Linked DNA regions of Caenorhabditis elegans. The protein of the gene in region 2 interacts with the protein of the main gene of each other region in a pairwise test. Each region holds a gene or a part of one and is shown on either strand. Other genes may lie near its edges.

Region 1 (7,442 bases), 6.1 Mb from region 2:
AAAAAATTTACTTTTTAACTACGAGAAATAAGTAATTTTAGAAACTTCTCTGTTGCTAATATGACGAAATATAATAGGAAAACTTTTCAAAAAATGTTGGATTTTGTTTATTCAGTCAAAAAGCGAAGCAACGCAAAAAGCGAAGCAAGCGAAGCGTAGCTTTTTTGGATGTCGTCGATCAAAAGTAATTTTTCCAATTTTTGTTCTAAAATATTTATATTAAAACAGTCAGGAGGGAGGCTCTAAATTGCGACATTGCTTTAGTTTTCACGAAAAAATGGTACGAACATAATTTATGTCGCTTTTTGTCTGTGAATAAACATTTTTTAAACAAAAAATTGCAGTTTTCCATGATATTTGATAACGTTTGCCAACACATTCAATTTTTAAACTTCTGGTAAGAAAAAACTTTTAAAACTTACAATACAACTGGAGGAACTACAAATATTTTTCCATTATTCGGAAATAGTCTTTCTTTGCAAAGTGTCTCAATATCCGGTTTTTCTCCTTCTTCTGACGCTTCCCATTTTGTCCAATTTTCGGCCCGTTCCTTATCCAGACAAATGAGTGATAAACTAAGCGTTTCGATAAGTTTACACGCCTAAAACATATCTTCAGTTATTGAGTTTTTTCAAGTTTTAGATATTTACATCAATATCTTGCCAATCGTTTTCTGTAATTGCTCGTCTCTCTCCATTTAATTCTGCAATTTGACCATATTTCTCCATTTGCTCCCGAACTCTTCGTTCAAGTTGTCGGCCACAAATCGAGCGAGCTGATTCGAACTCATTCAGCATTGTCACACCTTCGATAATCTGAAAAAAATACAATTTGCAATAAATCATAAATAGAAATTTGAATTTCTAAAAAAAATTTAACTGTTTAAAATTGTAGATGGTAAAAAATTACTCTTTTGTTGATTTTTTTCTAGAAATATTTTCTTATGCTCTTCAAAAATTAAAAATAAGAACTAACTGGAACTGCGATACATTCTGAATGTCCAATATCGACAACGAGAGCATTTTGAGTATTGAATGGAAATGTGGCACAAACATGAGATGGCATGAACATTAGAGATTTGCAACGAATCTTTTCGACAACAATTTTGGTGATGGTATTGCGGAGGGATTCTGACATGAAAATGCTTTCCACAAATATCACTGGACGGTCAGTGGGAGCCAAAACTCTAAAATCCAAGCTTTAAGTTAATCGAGGCCAGAGAGGCTCACTTTAAAAATACAATCCTCAAGAATTTATAGAGAATTTCTTCGTAGTACTCGGTGGACTTTGTAGCAGTCTTCCGATTGTTTAGAGCTAATAATTCATCAGAAGTTATCAATTTTCCTTCATCATCGACGTATTCTGTTCGGATAATATGTCGAGGTGTTATTTCTCCGGCACATCCAATTCTAAACATAGTAAAATTATGAAATTTAAGAACAGTGGAACTCAAACTTCGTTAACTTGCTTCCAATCTCAACCACAACTGCACTTTTTCCATTATCGATTGAACTGATAGCTTGAGATAAAGTTGTCGATGAAAGCGAGATTGATTGATTTGAAACTCCCGACGAACTCCGTCGAGCCGCCTTCAGCGACTCCAACGTTGATTGAGCAGTTGATGCCAGTTTGAACACTACAATATTGATTTTAAGATGATTTAATCTTAAAAAGAAAGGAGTAATTACGAATGTGGCACAATAAATAATGATTGATTCGTCTAATTAAAGTAAAATCTTGATAAAACATTAAAACAAAAAAGTCGTTCTCAATTGAGCGCTTACCGTATACGTGTGCAAACACCATGTATCTTCTATTGCGTACCGCGCGCAGTATATTACGCGCAAAGTTTTTGCGACTCTGAGTGACGTCACCAGACATTTTCTTATCGCTTTCTCGTTTACCGCCAGTTTAAATAATTATTTTATCACTTTTTATAAGTTTTTATCATTTCGCGTAATTACAGTAATCTTTTTATTAAAGGATTTGTTGCTTGATAGTGAACTAAAATAGGTTAACTTTGATTTTTAATGAGAGAGACATCATCGATTGCAGGTTTAGATTAGTTGTATCCATTTCTCTGACTCGAAATCTCTTTTTGCGTACTAATTTTTCAAAATAACCATCGATCTTCATCCAGATTTGAGGAAAATTCCTGTTTATTATTTTCAATATCTGGAAGGCTAAATAGAAAAAATGTTTGACTCGTTTAGGAATCCTAAATTTTGGAGATATAAAATTTGCGTCTTTCAATATTCAACTATTTGGGATATGATTTCCTTTTTTGCAATTATGGATTCTTACTAGAAAAACTACCAGACTCTGGCAAACATTCTCCTCCGCCTTGTTTGCTTTTTTCGTTGCTGGTCATCTTCAACAAACAGTGTACTTAAGCTCAGCATCACCACCGTGTTTTTTCATGGTGAAAACAACCCAGTTAAAATGGCTGAACAAGATGTTTAGATTTTTCTCGATAACATCTGATTGTGTAGGTCACCTTTACAAAGTTCATTTGAACTTTTTGCTATATCGTTATTCGAACGGATCTTCTCTCTTAACATAAAAGTTCCTTGCAATAGATATCGTTCAAAACGAACCAAGTGTCATCACTTGGAGCGGAGCCAGTAGAGCCCTGCTCTCGACATGTGAGAGCCCGGTCGCAAGGCATAGGGAATGACAACATTTCGTCTGCGTCTCCACCTCTTCAAGCAATCACTGTGAAATAGAAGCACACGAAGTTACACACTTGAATCCCTTTCTCTATATCCCTCGGTCTCTAGTTCTTCAGTTTATCCACGTTCAACGTCTGCTTTTTCTTCTTCTGCATCGACTTCGTGTTTTTTTCTCCAGAAATTTCGAAAACGTTTCAAAAATAATTTTTCCAGACTTCTGCTTCACGGCGTTTGCCGTGTTTCTTTCACGATGCCAAATTTACTCGATGACAGTTTTGATCCAACTTTTCAATCAACATCAAAAGTGAGTTTTAATTCCACAAGGAACATAAAATTGTAAGCAAAGTTTGTATACTCTAATTTTTAATATTCACAGTCTCAAATTATTCTAAGATTGCAAATTAACGCTCATTTTCCGAGTGATTGAGCCACACCCAAAGTTTTGAAAATATATAATTTATCAGTAATTAACCAAAAACTTCTACAATGTTCAGAAATTGGTACTTCCGTCTATTCGAAAGGTTCAGCCCGAATATGACAATCTTCCCGAAGAGCAGGGGGTTAACGATTTCTCAAGTGATGAACTGATGAAATTGCTCTCGTTCATGGAAGGTGAAGTTCAAGCAAGAGAAGATGTCATTGATCATCTGAAACGTGAAAGAACGAAAATTCTACTATCCGAAGCTAAATATGGAAAACTAAATATGAACGATCCATTTGCTGCGTTGCGACGAGATTCGGCAATTACTGGCGAACAGATTGATGAAGAGAAGATTGTTCAAATGTACGAGTCACAAGTGGATCAGTTGGATAAGATGATGGCAGTGCAAAAGCAATCGCAAAGAAATGCGGCTGTGGTAATTAAATTTTTGTGCAGCTCCCTCTATTTACACCAATCAAAAAAGTTTTCAGCTGTTGGTTGCGCTGGAGAAGAAGCAATATAAACTCGTGAAAAAGTTGGAGGCGGATAGAGAAGCTAAAATAAGGTGAGTTATATATTACGAAATAAGAAAATACCTTAATAAACATTATAACTCGACTCATACGCCTAAAATTTAGAACAAATCTTTAGGTACGCGAAACAAGGAGATGATTTGGTCGCTCACTTGGAAAAAGAACGAAATCAACTTCAACAACAAATTGAATTTCATATTGAGGAGAAACGCAAAGCCGAAATCGCAAAGGATAAAATGGAAATGACACTTGGAAATGAGAAAAAACGTCACGAATCAATCGTTTTGTATTTGATACAAGAACGCAAACAAATGCTTTTAAAAATGCACGAATTAAGAGTGAAAGCCGAACAAATTATGCTTCAAAATCAAAATGATCCTACCAAACGTGAGTTAACTGCAAAATAAGTTTTTTTAGTTCAATAAAACTTTCAGCTGGTCCATCATCAGCGTTAAGTGAACGCGAGCTTATTGAGGAGCTGAAAAAAGAAGTCACGTTTTTACGAGCAGAACGGGAATCGCTCACAAAAACTCAGAAAATGGTGAAAACTGAAAATCTGAGCCTTCGAGAAACAGTTCGTGGACAAGAAGCCGATCTTCAGATGCTTCGACGGAATCTGACGTTAACTGGAGCAAAAATGTCAATTGATAAGCCTGGGAATGTAGTGAGTTTTGTTTCAAATTTTCAATTTTCCTGAAACGGTCATAGAAATTTGGTTTATCGATGTCTCTAAATGTCAAAAGAATTGTTTTAAATTAGCTCTTGACAAATGCAAAAAAGTTGTAACTTTTTACTTATTACATGATATTTCCCATCTGCATTTTCTTTTATCAGTTGAACATAATAAGACAACCTTCACATAGTTGATTGCACTCATGATTAGCAAAATTTAGCTCTCAAAACAAGTTATGGAATTTCCGCATTTCATATTTTATGTTATTGCAGCTACCTCAACTTCCACCCGACACAGGATCCCTAATAATGGCGAATCGAGGTGCAAAACCAGCAGTTAATAGACAACAGCCAGCTCCTCCTCCTGTAGCTCGTCTTCCAAATTCAGCAACATTTCCAACTGAAAAGAGTCGACTTCCAAGAGCTCCACCTCCAGCTGTAACAACACCGGTCCCTCGAATGAGTATTGGAAGTTTGCCGGCATCTAGTTCTAATGTGTAAGATTTCTGACTACAATCAATTTTGATATTGCTATGTCACTGCAATCTGCCAAACTCAAACAAATTACAGTACCATGAAAACTTTCAGACCTCGCACAATGAGTTCGCCAGTGAAAAAGACACCAGTTATGGGTGTTTCCTCCACAGCAGTCCGACGCCCTCAGTCCGCAGCAACTACTACAATGCCAACTACCTCAGTTATAACAAATACATCTGCTGTGATGCCACTGTCGCCTGATCTCGAACAGCTGGAGGCTGCCATACAATCTATGAATGGTACGTTTTTTTCTTTGATTTTTCAAAACTTTCTGCACATTCTTATTTAATTTGGCAAGGCTTTATATTATTGTGTTAGTCTTTTCGTAGTTATGTCATTCTTCAGTTGTTACCGCCAGTCCCCCCGCATATTCAACTGCCATGGCCAAACGGAGTTCAAGTCTTCCGAGAGAAGCAAATAACAATCCACCAGGAGCTCCAATCCGTAGAAGCACGATGAACGGTGGAATGCACACATCTACGACGGGAGTCGTTAGCACTAGAATTGGCATGTTTTTGTAGTTATAGACTTGTGTTTTCTCGTTTTTTTTTTCAAGATGGCAGTTACCTTGAAAGAGCTGAAAGACAGTAGTAACTATGCAATCACTTGTAGTTTTGCGCTCAAGAGTATTGTTTTTGGTTTTCGGTATTGGGAAATTTCCATTTAGAAAACAAAATCATTCAGTCTTTGTAGGTGGAATATGAATGCAAATTGTGTCTGACTTTAAAAACTACTGCAGTTTTAAACTTTCTGCGGGAGTTTCATCGGTTCTTCAAACGTTTTTTTCTAGATTTGTTAAAATTTATGTGTTTTAAAAACTGGTTTTTTAATAAGTTTATTTTTATCGGAACCCTATGAAAAATCTATGAAAATTCCGCAGCCACACAAGTTTGAACTCACAGTACTCGCTAAAAGAGCATACCCTCCTTTTTTAGCAGACAGTTTTCGTTTCGAGACCGGGACCGTATTTTTAGCGCGAAAATCTGAAAATTTCGCATCCGGATAATACGAAAATGAATAAAAATAAATTTTAATATCTACATTTCTTAACTCCTACATTACTTATTCTGTTTTAATATGTTTCTTTTTTCAGCCGGACCTTCGTCAAACGTGGCAAGTGAACGAAAACTTTCTGGAACTGTAAAGCGGAACGGAATTCTCGCAAAAGCGTTTGGATCATCGAAATGATATTTTATATTCAAAATCTTAACTTACCTATCTGCACTTCTACCTAACAAACATTCATGGGTATTACGATTCTCTCATTCTTTCAGTTTTTGCTCAATTTTCTTACAATGTTTTATCGCACTTTTCATCATTTTCTTACTTGTTTGTTTATAGTTTTCATTTCGTGTAAAATCAGATCAAATTAAATATTGCACGTATAATGAAAATATTAAATTCGAGATATATTGTTCATTTAAAAAAAAGACGAAATCTAGTTTATAAAAGTCAGAAAAGATCCGTGAAATGATTGAAGCCTAGTGGTAGAGGAACGAGCGAGGACTTGTAATATTTTCGTTTTAAAAAAACAAAGTCTATTTTCACGAATGAATAGTACAAGTAGGGCACAAATGAGGAGGGGGAAATAGAATGAAAAGACGATATGGACCCGTCTATGGTCGATTTTCCAATAAGGAAAAGGGGTATTTCATGATGAGCATGTTCTACTAATATTGATGGATGCGAATTTGTCAAGAATATCATTCTTTAAACTATTATATTAAAATCAAAGTGTTCCGAATGTGAGGCAAAAGAAAAAAATGTGATCGAAAAAGATTTGGGGCCCTGGAAAGTGCAAAAAGAGTGAGATGACTGGTTGGATGGGTTGGAGCCAACTGAAAATAAGGCAAAAAATAAGAAAGAACTAGACGATTCATAAGAGGCACTGGATGAAGATGTCGCGGGACAAAACACGAAAGAAAATTGGAAAAAAGCATCAAATATAATTTGGTGTGATGATTGTAGAAAGTGAACTGTCGAGAAGACGTCGAGCCGCGTATGCTTCTTTGAAGATCGATGACCCAGTGTACTGAAATTACGAAAAAAATAAAATTTTTAATTTTTCAAGTTTAGTATAGGTGTTGGCGGCGAATCTCCTCGGCCAATTTACAAAACTTTTTAAGATTAAAATAAATGTAGAAATCATTTGCCGACAAAATTTATACACCATTACTTTCATAAATGGCATGTTTCAAGTAGTTTTTGATATTGTTTTCAAGTTTTTCAATAAAAATAAATTTTATTTCCAAACTAATCAAGTTTTTTTTTCTATATTTTTTTCAATTTCAAAAATTTTTTATCATATCGTAATTTCGCGATATTTGGGAATGTCGTTTTAAGATACACGCTATTTTTCAAATGGGTCTCGGAACGATCTCAGTCATAATGTCTGCTATAGCGCTACAGAAGCCAAATAGTGCTGATTTGTTTAATTTTTGGATTGCAAAAATGAAAGTTTTCAAGTAATTATATTAGCGAGCACTTACTCGGTTAGTCACATGATTTTTTGTGTTGAGGACAGTGTTGAGATCAGATTGCCAACTTGGTTCCCCGTGATCATCCATTTCAATCCGAGGACACCAACGTTCATGATTGTGAATCGGA
Region 2 (5,764 bases):
TGCTATTTTAAAGGCACACGGGTTCATTCAGATAGGTCTCGGCGCGCGAATAAGTTTGTGGTAGTCTTTTTTTCGTGTTAAAAATTATTTCAGTGCTCAAAACACAGAGAAAATTTGTATTAAAATTTTTTTCTGTTTCTCGGTCAGCTAAAAATCATTTAAGTTAAAAGGAAATCGATAATCTTAAATTATAGAAAAAGAGTGTATTTGTACTTTGAAAACTGATATTTAAAAACAAAGCGGTGAAATTCGCATAATAAACGAAGAAACAATCGCAAAATTTTTTCGCGCCGAGACCCATCTAAATAAATCCGTGCGCCTTTAAGAAGGAATTTCAAAATCTTGTGAAACGACAATCTTTTAGAGAGAAAGCAAAAACCTTTTCGGGTCGACGATGGGCAATGTAAGAACTCTGGGAACCCGACCGGAAACCCCTTCGATGGTTTGAATGTGACACCTAGAAATGTTAAGATTTTATAAATTGGCACTGCCACGTGGCACTGACCAATCCCCCTCCTCACGGACCACCTTAACAATCTGATCTTGGGCTACAGAACACCGCGTTTCGGGATCTTGTGTGGCATTTGAAATTCTTACCCACGAGAGGTGGGCCATACTGCAAAATTTTGGAAAATTTGAGAAAAAAGTGTTCAGACGCAGACGGAGTTAGTCAAGCTTTTTTTTTGAAAATTACATCAAAAATTCAATTAAATTTCCAATTTTCGAATAGAACACTAGTTCCTATTGCAAAATGTTTATAGTTTCTATGGTGTTAGATTGGATTTCGTCAGTGAGACGAGAAACTAAACAATATTTTTATAAAATAAACAATTAGTAAGCGATAGACCAGCCAGAGACCAATTTTGTGAAATTTTCTTTTTTTCAAAAATTCCCAATTTTTAGCTAAAAACCCCAGTTGTAAAAAAAGGATTATTTCAATGAAAAGCCATCACAATTGAAACATGAAAAGTGCGTGTTGGGATATGAAAAATCGATATTCTCATCGAGAAGAAGACGTGCTGCTGCGACGTCGCCCGCCCCACCAGCCGAGAAATCGAAAGATGCAAGTTCGCTCTATCGTTCAACTACTTGTCATGTTTTGAGGAGACGCAACGGGATGAGGAGGGGGCAAGACACAACAAACACGCACACAAAAAAAAGCACTTGTGTGCACACAAAATTGAGGGAATTAAATCGAGGAAGAAAATGCCGAAAAAAACTGCAAAAAAAAACTAATAATGAGGAACCGAAAATGTCATCAATGAATACGAGTTTTTTGAAGAAAAAGGCTTTAAAATTGATGTAAATATTTTTATTTTTTTCGTAAACTGAACCCTAAATTGATAAACGGAAAAACTGATAAAAAGTTATGATGAAAAAAACAAACAGGAAAAAGAATTGTTTTTGTTTACAAAATATAGTTTAAATTTTAAATTCTCTGAGTTCGAAGAGGACTTTTTTTCAAAATCGTTTTGTCGCGCGGTCAGCCTTTGGTTTTGAGCGTTTCTGAGAAAAATTTGAGTAGATCACACGTAGATCATATTATATCTTCTTCTAATTTCACATTTAAATGTGCATTTCTATAGATTTTCCCTAAAATTTTGTGTGATCTACACTTGATCTGCCCTAAATTTTCACAGAAACACTTAAAAACTTGTTTTGTTTTCTCGTGAATAATATTTTTCTAATCAAAATTTTAATATAAAGGAACCAAATAAACATGAGGATTTTCAATTAAACAAATCTTTTGAAACAGTAATTTTTCCCGGTGAACAAAATTGCAGTAACCAAGTTTAAAAATTCCATATTTTTTCACAATTTCCAAGTAAACAAAAACTAAATTTTTAAACAAATAATTTTTATTATAAGCACATAAAATATGAAATCCTGGCTACAATTGGTGGAATATTGTCATAGTTTCCTCCATTTTCGATCCAGCGGTTCGTTACAAGCCTGGAATTTAATTGCTTTTTATTTTAAAAATAAAAATCACTTACTTCAAAATTTTCCCATCACAACTATTCCCAGAATAAGTAGTTTCTTCTGTTGATACTGCTAGGAGGAGTACAGTTTTTGGGATGGGAAAAGTTCCATGGTCCGCAAAGGCATGGAGCACTAAAACTGCATCCCATGCAAGAAGATCAATATTTGTCAGGACTGCTGTTCTAGGTGTCATTTGTGATGCGAGAGCTAAAGTGGTAAGTGAAATAAATTTCAAGAGATTTTCGGAAAAATACATTTACAACTATATAACGTAAGTGTCAAAAATGCCCAAAATTAATGAACTTGGTGAAACAGTTAAAAAAAAACTAACCATTGTTCAATATTGCATGTAGCTCTCCTCTTTCAAGTTGATTTCCAATTTCAATTGGTAAATTATTTGAATTTGTCTCTGATTTAGAATTTTGAATTGCCTTGTTTAATTTTTCAGAAAACTCATTAGCTTTCAAACCAGCAATAACTATGACAAGCGGAGCATGTTCATCTGGATGTAAAAACATTTGTTCACCAATTAATCTCAAAAGATTCCGATTTTCTTTTGAAATATCTGAGAAATCCGAATTGACAAAGGATCTTACTGATTCTATGTAGTTTTGGTAGGGGTTTCGATCCTGTAAATAAGCAAATTTATTTGTCGAAAGGAACAAAGTTATGTGGAAAAATCAAACCTGGTTTGGTTCATTTTGAAGCATTGAAAAAGTTCCTTGAGATATAAAAAAAAGTGCAGAGAGCAAAAGAATCAGCAGTGTCATTATTAAATTATTCGAGATTTCCCACTTTCTTGAAAATGTCTTTGATAATGTTTTGATCATATATTTTCTGTCGAATTGAACGGCATCTGAAGTAGCATGTATATTGTTAATAGTTACATTTCTGGACTTTTAGGGGAAAAAACTCACGGCTTTTTTCGGCAATGCACAAATTGCAAATTACATTTCCACCAGCAAGAACAATTTCCGTGTTTGACCAAATTTTCAAAGTGCAGAATTGGCATTGCGAATAATCTGGAAATCGTTACATTTCTGAATAGAAAACTACGGATTACATTGTAGGTAGATTTTTAGATAGGCCTTACCTACAGCAGGCGTTACGTTTTTTGCTATCTTTTTTGTGTACATATTGCTACCTATTTTAGAATCTAATTTTGCATAAGTTTACAATTTTTTAATTTATTCTAAATTTGCCTAAAAAATTAAAGAAAACAAAATTTTTTGGCGTTCTACAAACTTTAAAAACTCACACTGAGTTTTCTTGTTGAATTCCATTCCCATCGTTCCACTATTTTTCCGCGGAGTCATCTGAGGATGATAATGATATTTAAAAAAAAGAAAAACATGCATAAATTAACAAATTAATAAGTATTTGGAACTTCAAACCACTTAAAGCCTTAGAGAACACCGAACCATAAAAAATATTGAACACAAATTTATCAACATCTTGAAACAGGAGAAAATACTTTCACAACTCATCATTAAACTCTTTCTTCGAATTGAGTGAGAATCCCATCTTGGAAATTTCGAGATCAGTCTTTGCATTCACACGTTTACATCCTGACGAGGAAAATATTTTGCTAGATTCAGGGAAAAATTCAAGAGAATCAAGAACTCTTTGCATGAATTCTCCATCCTTTGCCAAATCATGTCTTCCGCGTTTTCGAAGATGTACTTGAATGCACTGGGAAACGTAGAACTTAGATAAGGGAAGAAATGGTATAAAATGATCAATAAGTTGATTAGAGATCATATCAGTGTTACGAAGACCACCTTCTTCATTGAATGCAGAAAGCATCAGTGTTCGTTCAAAATGCTTCAACTCGAGTTGTGATCTTATTTTACCATTTTCATGATGTTCTAATGCGATATTAGCAATTTCTTTGCTCCCTTTGTTGCTTAGAAAAATGAAGATAGTTTTCCGAAAGTCCACTCCAAAGACCGCCGGATAATAATCAAGAAATGGTTTGATCACTTGAATCAATTCACTTTGTAGCTTATCCGTCTCATCAAATATAAAAATAGATCGCTGACATCTTCGGGCCGATCTTATAAGTTGATCTTTCAGTTCCAATTTATAATCCTCAATATACTTTTTATTCGGAAAATTATTTGTTGCAACGAAATAATTCACAAATGGGCTGTGCATTCCACTTCTAAAACATAAACTTGTTTCTCAAAAAAATTTTAAGCAATGAAAAGTTACCGATAAGTATTGTTCACAATAATTTCAGTCACATAATTCTTTCCAGTGCCGGTTCCGCCGTGAAATGAGAGAACTAGCGGCTTCTGAGAATGCTCATTGTGCCAATGAGATTTGATTGAATGAACTACAGATTCTGCCATCAAGTGCTGCCCGAAAATTTTATTATCGAAATCTTTGTATAACGCTGAAATGTAAAGTTTAGAAAAATATTTAAAAAATAAACGGTTTTTCTTTCAAAAGTATCAAAAAAAAAAGTGCGAAAAATGCTCCTTATCACGGAGCACAACTCAAAATTTGTATATAGCTGTGTTTTACATTAGAAACAATTTGCATGGTGTTCTGAATTTTGACTGAATTTCTTAAAATATTGCTACTCACCATGATAATTGAATATATCCGTTTCACCGCAGCAAGTGTAAAATAAACATTTTAAAAACATTGGCATTGATAAGCTGTGGACATCGACGACTAATTGATTAAGAATGATAACGAAAATAATATATTTAAAAAATTGCATCTTTCTTTCAGAATAAAACAAAATATTTGACAAGTGAGAAGTAAAGGAAAATGAAATGGAACAGAAGATGTCGCTTGTTATCTGCGTATTCTTGCTAACATCAAAATATCCATGAGAAATCACACCGAAAAATAGATTGATGCACTGATAACGAAATTTGAAGATAAAGAAACATTGAACATAGAATTTAAATTTCAATAGAAACCATTTTTCAGCGAACTTTTTCATTTCAAAAGGGCTGATTTTATTCAAAAACATTTTTGTACCAATTCAATTTTATTTTGAGCAGTTACTACAGTTCAAGCTTAATGCAAAGATAATAAAAACTAATTAACTTATGAAAGGTGGAGTACCTGGTGGAGGTAAAAGTATCTGGTTCAAAATCATTTTCTACTCGCAAAATTAAATAATAAAATGAATACAATAAAAACGTAGTTATGGACAATTTGAAACAGGGGAAATATTTACAACTCATCATTGAGTTCATTCAATTTTGTAAATGTTGCTAAATCAACAAAAAAATTAAACACTTAGAATGAAAACAAATTTCTGGACATTTTGAAACAGAAAAAAAACTACAACTCATCATTAAACTCTTTCTCCGAATTGAGTGAGAATCCCATCTTGGAAATTTCTAGTTCAGTTTTTGCATCTACACGTTTACATCCTGACGAGGAAAATACCTTGCTAGATTCAGGGAAAAATTCAAGAGAATCGAGAACTCTTTGCATGAATTCTCCATCCTTTGCCAAATCATGTCTTCCGCGTTTTCGAAGATGTACTTGAATGCACTGGGAAACGTAGAACTTAGATAAGGGAAGAAATGGGATATAATGATCAATAAGCTGATTAGAGATCAATTCAGTGTTTCGTAGACCACCTTTCTCATTGAATGCATGTGACATAAGTGTTCGTTCAAAATGCTTCAACTCGAGTTGTGACCGTTTTTTAAGATTTCGACGATGTTCCAATGCAATGTTCGCAATTTCAGAGCTTCCTTTGTTGCTTAGAAAAATGAAGGTAGTTTTTCGAAAGTCAACTTCAAAAACG
Region 3 (9,556 bases), on a different chromosome or scaffold from region 2:
TAAGAACGTGCCGTTGTCACATTTTTTGAGGAAAAAATTCCCGCATTTTCTGTAGGTCAAACCGTAATGGGACAGCCTGAGACCACGCTACCTATCGCCACCCCTAGCCTACTACAACTTACCCTGTTGCAGACTTCTTACTGGTATTGGGGGAAACAGAGGAGAATGGAGTCAGTGAGAGGCTTTCTGAAAATATAAAGATTTCGATGCTTGAGCGGCAAAGGATCGCCGGTTCCTGAGCATTTGACATGCATGTAGCTAGCTTCGGATTTTGTCGCCCCTCGCACTTTGGACCAAGACCCTGTGCCCTAGACCCAGGGTGCGTGGGGGCCTTTGCGGCTCGGTAAGATGTGAATGGTAAAATTTAACTTTCCGAGGAGAAAATGCTGTCTATTTAAGTTTGCAAAATTAGGCCTGCAACTTGCTCAGACTTTTCATATTTTTCAGTAATTAGGAGCAATGCCGGCGCTGAAAAAAACCACGCCAGGACTAAAAATAGGCAAACTCAGAAGTTTACTGTCATGTAAAGTACAGTTGAAAACAAAACAGTCGGTCAGTTCACTGACTTACCATAACTAGACTTCTCATCTTCCATCCAATTCCACCTGTCAGAGGATGGTGAGGTAGCCGTTGAATCATCTTGTAGGTCCTCAAATCTTCGAGGAAGCTGGCTCAATGGTTTAGTTCCCACGAGGCCGGCCATTTCTTCAAGCATTCTACGGGTACGGAGACAACCCACGGGGCTCAATGAACGTGAAGTATGCGGAAGTTTTGGTTTGCCCTGGAATTTGAGTTATGGGTAGATTACCTATGCCGCATAAAAGTACTGAAACTCGGGAATTTATTTAAAGGTTGGTCAAAGTTGGGAGCATGATATAAGGACTAAATTTTTGTAGGGACCTATTTGAAAATTTGCAGCATATCTGATATTCTGGCAATTGACCGAAATCCTGATCGCCAGAAATGAAAGAATCCCAAAAATACAAGAAATCCTCAGATTGCTGCTCAAACTCACCGATTTCATATTCGGGTGCTGCTCGGCAAAAGATAACAACAAAGCCTGGGAAAATGTAGAATAGGAGAAGAAGAAAAAGTGCGCGCGGGTATCCAATGTGTCAAAGTCCCACCGGAGTTCTCACCCGACCCCCGTTGCTATGTGCCGTCTCTTGATCAGGTGTGGGGGCACTCCATAATTAAAATTCAAATAATGTATCTTCATATGAAACAGGAGAGAAAGAGTGAAATAGTAATAATTAAAATTGGAAAATGTATACACTCATAAGTCTCAGTGTGACTAGAGAGGAGAACTGGAAAGAGCATGGAATACACAAAGAGAACCGTGATAATAAGTATGGGAACCGGCCTAGAAAAAACAAATGAGGGGAAAAATAACGGTCCGTGCAGCTTGGTAGTGTCTAGGCCTAAGCCTAAACTAGCCCAAAGCTCAAATGCACAAGACAACCGTGATATCAAGTATGGGGGGGGGGGACCAGCCTAGAAAAAAAAGACAAAATTATTGCTTCCGACGAGCTTTTCCATCGGGAGTGTTATTTGACGGGCGGTGCACTGGAGGTGGCCTATCAGAATGAAAAGTTCCCGTCCTGATTGCCAAGTCCAGGCCCTTCTTGACTTTTGCCAGAATTGGCTTTGCCGGCTGCTTCTGCTCCTCCTCGTACTCGGCCTTCAGGCTTCCGACGGCGGTGAGCACAAATGTGGCAAGATCGGCGAATTGCATGTCCATTGAGATGGATTTTCCGACGATAGATTCAACGCTGAAAAATTTAAAATTATATTTAAAAACTGTGGTTAGTCTTGGTTAAGCCGTTATTACAAATTTTCTAATATTTTCAACATGAACCAAAATGTGAGCAAAATGAGCTGGCTCTATCAAAAATTATCAACTGACAAAAAATAACTAACATAACACTTTCTATCATATTGTCACTTACTCTTTGACAAAAGTTCCTGAATCGATAATATTTGACAGAGTTTTCGAGTCTTCCCAATATCTACTGGCCAACATCAACCCGTTGGCAGTTTTGAGCTGCGATTTGTAGGCATCGTAGACAATTTGGGGCATTGAGACCTGGAAAATCAACTTTTTAGAAAAAAAATTTGGGACATGGTCACAGAAAAAATTTCAAAATCCATGTTTTTTTTCATAAAAATTAACATACTTTTGATAAAGCAAAAGTTTAAGCTTAGGCTTAGGTTTAGTCTTAGTCCCTGGGCTTGTGCTCAGTCCTAAGCTTAGTCCTAAGCCTAAGCCTTAGCTTAGTCCCAGTTTATCTTTTTGAAGACTTTTTAAAAACATTTCCTACTATTTTTATCCGATTTTATTGATTTCCTCTGCAAAAAAATCAAAAAAATTGTCTACTTCCACAAAACCTTACCATATTCTGACAAGCCTGAATGCTGGCGATCCATGGGATTACAGGTGCCCCAGTTGGACCAGATGGTGTCGATCCGGCGGACGGGGATGGTTTGGGGGTCCCGTGAGCCACTGACGTCACCGCTTTGTTTGTGGGGACTGTTAGATGCTGAGAATGAACTGACGAGGAGTCGGATGCACGGGACACCGGTCGAATGTCGATGGATTCGGAGACTTCTCGCATGTCCAATCGTGACATTGTTTTTATTGCTTGCTAGAATTTCGAATTTGGAATTTAGAATTTAGAATTTAGAATATTAGTGTTGATAAATCGGATTTTTTTTCAGAACCTGAATTTTCAGATTTTCAGAATTTCTCCAGTTCAGAGTGCTTGTATACTTTTGAAGTTTTATTTTAAGGAAAAAAAAACATACCTCTGATCTAAAAATATACATCTGATACTGCATCACAGCTAGCATCACCTGACCGATCACTTTGACACGTGGCAAAATGTGAACCGCCAGGGAATCGTCGGTGTCGCGGACACCTTGAAACACGGCGACTCTGAAATTATTCATCAATTTTTAAAAAATCCCAAAGTCCCAGAAACTAACCCTAGAAGCTCATAAGTGTCCCGATAGATCGAAGCGCATTGCATTTTGGATTGAGTTGTCCGCTCCTTGTCAGCTTTCCAGATGGCTTCAAGTACAAAAAATACACTGGAGAGCATGTAGTTGAGGGGACGAGTCACACGATCCTTGCTATTGTCGGCTTTTGACTTCCAGTCCTTTGCCAAAGCATGATAGAACTCTCCTTTTGTCTTGGTGGAGGTTGATGAAGGGTCTGAAAAATGTAACTGGGTTTGGAGGAAAATATCTTGGTTCAATTTGAAAATATTGATAGATTTATAACTGGAAATATGTAGAAAAAGAAACCATAAATATTTTGTCAGTTGAAAATTTTTTGATAAACCTAAAGCGAGCCGAGGTATAAACTGTAAAAGTTAAGACAGACATGGTACATCGACAAAACAGGAAAACGTCGTAATATTTTGTCTCTGTTAATATTGGTTAAATCGAAAAATAAATGTTTTAACCTGACATGGTGCATCGATTGGAAGTTAGACGCTACGTTCCCAATTTTGACTTTCGTTACTCCGAAGCCTGAGCCATAGCCTAAGCCTAAGCCTGAGCCTGAGCCTAAGTTGAAGCCCACGCCTATGCCAAAGTCTAAGCCTATTGTTAAGAATGAGTCTAAGACTAATCCTAACCCTGAGCCTAAGCTAAGGCCTAAGCCTATTCCTAAGCCTAATCCTAAGGCAAAGCCCAAGCCTAAGGCAACGCCAAAGCCTAAGCCTGAGCCTAAGTATAGGCCAAAGCCTAAGCCTAAGCCAAAGCCTATGCCTAAGCCTAAGACTAAACCTAAATCTAAGAAGTAGGTACTCACCTGGAAACGGAACTCGCTGGGCTTTTTTCAATCTCGCATGTGACCACTGGCACACAAATCTCGGCTTTACTGCCGCCGATGCTTCTGCTGGCGCCGACGTGGTTGCCACTGCGGCCACCTCCGTTTCCACATGGCTGTGAGTAGACAGAGCAGATGGGGGCCTTGATGGTACCGATGGAGTGGTTGATCGGATGTTTCTTGGTGATGGGCTCATCGTTCGACTGGAACCTTGAAGCCCTTGAAGACTCTGAACCGTTTTGTTGGCGGGTTTTTGTGGCGGCAGTGGAGAATTCCGAGCGGATCCGGATCCTGGGCCAAGTATTGGGTCTCTAGAAGGTGTGGGTACCGCAGGGACCGCTGGAACCGATGGGGGCCTTGGTGGAGGTGGAAGAGGTTCCAGAACTCTCTTTTCCTGTTTTTCAACCACTTTCTCCACAACCTTCTTCTCAACTTCCACAACATCCGTCAGCTTCCCTCGGGTCTTCGCAAGCTCAATGAGCTTCTGCACCCGTTCTGGCTTCAGAGCCTTTATCCGAAGAGTACCCAAGAGTTTGGGCTCCGGTGTGGACTCCCGAGATGTCGAGGCAGCTGATACTGAACTGTCCGATGGGAATTTGGATGAAGAGGGTCCTGGTTGCTCATCTTCCTTGCACACCACTTTGAAGTCTTTCGGAAGCGGCGAGAGTTTCGGAGTGTCCAGTCTGAAATTTTAGATTTTTATATGTACTGAATATTCAAATACAATTTTTGTAGGTATTCATATGTGGCTATGTTATGGCTGCTAGGCTGACCCAAAACCTACGTTTTCATGATACTGAGCATCGCAGCCACCTCATCAGAATTCGGCTCCTCGATCATATCACTTTCGGTGGAGTGAGTACCCGAATCCGGTGTTGAAGGGGGAATGTCTGGAAAATTTATTATTTTTTCAAATACAAATATTTTCAATAAATTCAAACTTCCGTTTATTTCTGAAACCGCTTGTGACGTCACACAGTATATAAATAATTTTCCAGCCAATTTTGTAGATCAATTTTCACGCCAAAAATATTTTTATTAAAAGCCAACTATTTCAAAAAATAAAATTTTCACTTCAAATTTCCCGCCAAACTTATATTTGCACATGGTGCCAGGCTGTCCCACTACGGTTTGATCTACAAAAAAATGCGGGAATTTTTTCAACCATGCGAAATCAGTTGAGAACTCTGCGTCTCTCCACCCGCATTTTTTTAGATCTACGTAGATCAAGCCGAATTGAGACACTCTGACGCCACGTGTATTTGTGAAACACGTGTGACGCTACATACTGCTAATGGAATTTTCCCGCAATTTTGCGTAGGTCAAACTTTCCGTCCATTGTTTTTTTCCACAAAAAAAACTTACAATTCCTGGATTCCTTTTTCCGTTTCACTTCAATCTGACTATCCTCATCTTCTCCAATTTTTCGTTTTTTATCCGTTGATGACGTGGCACTGCTCTTCACATTATTCATTCCTTTTTTCAAATCAGCAAATTCATGATGTGTAATCTCAGTGATTCTCTCATCAACCAGATTTTTCATACTTTGAAGCGCCACGTGGACAGGCACATGACTTGGCGATTCGTGGGGCGGAGCTTGTAACGTGACAAATGGAGATGGGCGGGGCTTCATTTTAGACTGGAAAAATGTTTTTGAAAAAAAGGTTTTTCGAAAAAAAATCCCTGCTGATTTTTACCAAAAATTGGAAAACTCATGTAAAAAAACGTTTTGAATACCTATATTTAAGTAGAATTCTGCAAAAATTCACACAATTTTGAGACAACTGGAAATTTAACGGGAAAATTTCGAAATAAAGTTTTTTTTTTTAATTTGGAAATTTTTGATATATTTTTTACGTTAAATTTAGTTATAAATTTATTTTTTGAAGCACACGTTAAAATACATTTTTTATGTTAGCTGTACAAAAATTCCAAATCGGCATATTGCCGGTTTGCCAACTTGCCGGAAATTTTCAATTCCGGCAAATTGCCAATTTGCCGATTTGCCGGAAATTGACGATTTGCCGTTTGCCAGATATCAGATTTGCCGGAAATGTCTAGAGAGATTTTTTCACACGGCAACACTTAAAACTTGTCATTTAGAATTTTTCCTTTTTTTCTATGTAGATATTTTCATAGAAATTGCTTACTTTTCAAAATAGATGCAGAAGCATTCATAGGATGCGTTTAATTTTGTAATTTGAAATTGAAATTCGGAAATTTCCAAAAAAATAATTGCAAAACCTTTTTTTCGAAAATTTCCGGCAAGTTCGGCAAATCGACTATTTGCCGGTTTGCCGGAAAGTAATTTTTTCCAACTAACAACATATTTTAATCATTTTTTCTTTATTTTGTATAATTTAACATTTTTTTATATCTTCCAAAAAAAATGCTCACCCTGATCAACCCGTGCCGTGAAGTCTGCTGATTCTTTGCTACCCGATCATGAAACTCTTCAAATGGGCCAAGCCATTCTGTAATTGACAATTTTAAGTTTTATTTCTTTTTTTTTTTTTGACTTCCCAACAAATAAGACTTACCACATAAGCTGCGTCGAATTTTCCCATTGAAATCGTCTTCCCGTGAGTCTTCTTCCATTAAATATGTGTAAGGTTTACCTGCAATAAGAAGTTTTTTTTTTGTTTTCAAAAATGCAAGCCAAATCCCAAGCTTAGGATATAGGCCTAAACTAGGCCAAAGCCCAAATGCCGTAAAAAGTTAAAAACAAACGGAACATTTTTCCTTTGTAGGAAGAAAAATCGATTTTCAACCCAAGAATCCAAGGAAAACATTTTTTAAACTAATTACGCTAACCCGCTAACAAGAAAAGTAAGAAAAAGCAAATCTTCTAAAAACAAAAGTATCAAATGTCTGTCTTGTGGGGGTACTAATTAGGACACATACAGAGACATCTCCATGCCCGGCGGTTGCCTATCTTTCCCCTCTTTCTCTGCGTATCTTCTCTCTCACGCACTCTCTCGTTGAAAGGTGAATGGGGGGAGGGGGAGGTGTGTAAGTGTTAGCTGTATAAGGGAAATAAAGAGATTAGGCGACAGTTACGTTAACTGAGAGAGAAATGAGAGATCAAAAATTGGATGAAGAATTACAGTAATCCAAGTTTAAAGACGCATGAAGAATGGCAAATTTCACACTAACAAAGTTAACAGTTTCAATATTTCAAGTATCATCTTGCTTATTTCTGGTTTTCTCGAAAAATTATCGAATTATAGTTTAAAAATTAATTAAGATAGGTCAAAGTTGCCAAATAATAAGAGTTTCAATTTTCAAACGATGCACCATGTCTGTCCTAACTTTGACAGTTTTTTTAAAAATTGTCAACTAACAAAATATTCGTTTCAAATTACTTAGTATTCTTTAAAAAGAACCAAGATTTTTTGTCGATGCACCATGTCTGCCAAACTAGTTATTGTTGGTTTTTTTTTCAAAAAATTATTTATTGTTGAATTTAAAAAAATTTTATAGCTAATCTATAACAAAAACCAATTTTTAATTTTAATTTTTTTTAAAGTCGAACTAATTTAGTTTTTTTGAGAAATTTTGAACAACTTGCATTTTTTTTAAATTTCCCCCATTTTTAGAGAGGATTTTTTCAAATGTAGCATAAGCCGAAATTTGAAAAAAAAGTTTAGATCATGGGAAAAATAATAAATTACACAGAAAAAAACCCAATTTTTTTTTCAAATTTTAGGTAATAATTCAATTTTTGCTTAAATATACTCAAAATTACATCAAATGACCGTATTTTATGATGAAATTTTTCAAAAGAAAATCCATAATTTTCTTAATTTAAATATTAAAAAAACTTGTCAAATAAAATAACTGCTTGGTTTTTCAACAAAAAAAAACATCCTAATTTATAATAATTTTTTGTAAATCATTTGAGGTAGAAAAACACGATTAATTCAAATTCTAAGGAATTTACCGTGAATTTAACTGAAAATTAGTCATTAACAAGGAAAATTTCAAATCTAGTGTAAATCTAGTTTTTGTAAATTTTTATGCAAAAACTCAAATTGGAATATATCAGTCGAAGCTTTAAAAAAAGCGCAATTTCATAGAGCCAGAAAATATAAGAGTATTCAAAGTTTTTCAAAAAATCTCTCCTAATCCCAAATGAACAACAAAAAATATATCAAGAAAATCGTCTTCATCTTGTTCTTCTCAATTTCGTACGCTTCTTCGTCCGATATACACACTCACAGTTTTGTACGCAATAATAATCGAGAAAAGACAGCAAAAAAAAAGAGACAGTGGTTGAAAACGGGGGGAGGCACAAGAGACAGAGAGAATAGAGACGGCTGGGCGAAATCGGCGCACCCGGGGGCAGGTTTAGCACTGGTCGAGAGAGAGAGAGAGAGAGAGAGAGAGAGAGAGAGAGAGAGAGAGAGAGAGAGGAGTAGTGTGTAGAGACGCAGACGCTTCAGTGGTGTTCCGCGAGAAGTGTTAGGGGGGGATGGGGTAGTAGTTGAGGAAATCGAGGAGGAGGACAGGAAAATGAGAAAACCTTTATTATTCACATACTGTTTTGTTTTACTCCATGTCATAGTACCGGAAGTTATCTCACGTGGTAGATCAAATTTACCAAACTCCTCGAGTTTTTAAAGTTGAGGTTTTTGATTTTTCAGTACCAGATTTTTTTAGCTTAGACGTAATCAATCACGATTTATAATTTTTTTTAAGCATTTGTTAATTTCCGGCAAATTTCTAAGTTTGCCGAATAACTTTGGTTCCTGGAATTTTCTTACTTTTTAAAAAATTCTTATTTTTAACATGCCTCTTTTCTAAGGGGTTTTAACAATTTTTTTCAGCTTCATTTCGAATTCCTGTTCCAAAGTAGAACTGAATGAGATAATATACCCACACACCTTGTTCCAGGCTGTCCCATTGTGGTTTGATCTACAAAAAATGCGGGATTTTTTCGCCCAAAAAAATTTGACGTCAGCACGTTCTTAGCCATGCGAAATCAGTTGAGTACTCTGCCGCATTTTTTGTAGATCTACGTAGATCAAAACGAAATGAGTCACTCTGACACCACGTGCCACAAAAGGGAGATCACCTTCAAACTTCAGTTGGTACTCATTTAACAATCTCCAACCATTTTCGTGTTCCTAGGTCGGTGCAAATACATAACCATATTTCTTTTTGCTAGACTAATTTTTGAGGTCCCTATAAGTTTGGGTCCAAGTGTCAGAGGTACATAAATGAGGGTGCATTAAAATTCAAGGCACATCGAGCTTTTGTTTTTAAACATTTTTATAACTTTTTTCTAGCGTCTTTTTGAGCATTTTTGGTTTCTCTACATATAATTCCACATTAAACAGCTAAGCTGGCAACAAGCCAGCGTAGGCCCAACAAAAGAAAACTTGTTCGGCCCAAGTTTGATCTCACTGACTTCTGAAGTTCAGAATCTAAACCAAGCTACATACCTTTTATGCCAAATGTAAGAAATCGCCGGAATATCTCTACGGTAGTACCACTACAGTAGTATCTTGGAGTTAATCTTAACTAATTTTTGTTCAAAAAGCTCACAATTTTTCCACTTCGATAAACTTACAAGAGTTTGTAAGTGGTTATGGTGTAATAAACTTTTTCTACAATCCTGAATCAATAGCTCCGAGGTCCGCGAAATTTGTGATATTTCCAAAATTAAAATAGGATCCATGATATTTGTTGCCATTTTACTTTTTTTCTGAGATTTCT

What was found. The genes of interacting proteins can lie anywhere in the genome.
Region 1: the proteins of gei-18 (region 2) and cbpl-1 interact in a two-hybrid assay, tested with the Caenorhabditis elegans proteins (one large-scale study listed by BioGRID).
Region 3: the proteins of gei-18 (region 2) and affl-2 interact in a two-hybrid assay, tested with the Caenorhabditis elegans proteins (one large-scale study listed by BioGRID).

Annotation. Positions count from the first base shown.
Region 1 is NC_003282.8:7,900,855-7,908,296, forward strand, and holds cbpl-1 (Cortactin-binding protein-2 N-terminal domain-containing protein), read left to right. Parts: upstream 1-2,885; 5' UTR 2,886-2,922; coding exon 2,923-2,976; intron 2,977-3,166; coding exon 3,167-3,529; intron 3,530-3,584; coding exon 3,585-3,658; intron 3,659-3,744; coding exon 3,745-4,013; intron 4,014-4,060; coding exon 4,061-4,290; intron 4,291-4,571; coding exon 4,572-4,795; intron 4,796-4,886; coding exon 4,887-5,074; intron 5,075-5,180; coding exon 5,181-5,342; intron 5,343-5,928; coding exon 5,929-6,023; 3' UTR 6,024-6,241; downstream 6,242-7,442. Other genes in the region: arp-11 (Actin-related protein 10), read right to left, coding at 423-601, 651-815, 976-1,186, 1,230-1,417; npp-27 (C3HC-type domain-containing protein), read right to left, coding at 6,775-6,867, 7,325-7,442.
Region 2 is NC_003282.8:13,979,225-13,984,988, forward strand, and holds gei-18 (GEX Interacting protein), read right to left. Parts: upstream 3,302-5,764; 5' UTR 3,300-3,301; coding exon 3,242-3,299; intron 3,006-3,241; coding exon 2,901-3,005; intron 2,840-2,900; coding exon 2,670-2,839; intron 2,613-2,669; coding exon 2,315-2,612; intron 2,253-2,314; exon of another isoform or gene 2,232-2,252; intron 2,191-2,231; coding exon 1,998-2,190; intron 1,954-1,997; coding exon 1,863-1,953; 3' UTR 1,838-1,862; downstream 1-1,837. Other genes in the region: dnbp-1 (SH3 domain-containing GRB2-like protein), read right to left, coding at 380-457, 506-615; tor-2 (Torsin), read right to left, coding at 3,460-4,147, 4,198-4,381, 4,576-4,636; tor-1 (Torsin), read right to left, coding at 5,290-5,764.
Region 3 is NC_003281.10:431,788-441,343, reverse strand, and holds affl-2 (AF4/FMR2 C-terminal homology domain-containing protein), read right to left. Parts: upstream 6,454-9,556; 5' UTR 6,434-6,453; coding exon 6,376-6,433; intron 6,310-6,375; coding exon 6,233-6,309; intron 5,475-6,232; coding exon 5,201-5,474; intron 4,726-5,200; coding exon 4,620-4,725; intron 4,519-4,619; coding exon 3,818-4,518; intron 3,215-3,817; coding exon 2,986-3,214; intron 2,936-2,985; coding exon 2,806-2,935; intron 2,646-2,805; coding exon 2,394-2,645; intron 2,087-2,393; coding exon 1,950-2,086; intron 1,773-1,949; coding exon 1,514-1,772; 3' UTR 1,202-1,513; downstream 1-1,201. Other genes in the region: affl-1 (AFF-Like homolog), read right to left, coding at 123-186, 571-781, 1,016-1,024.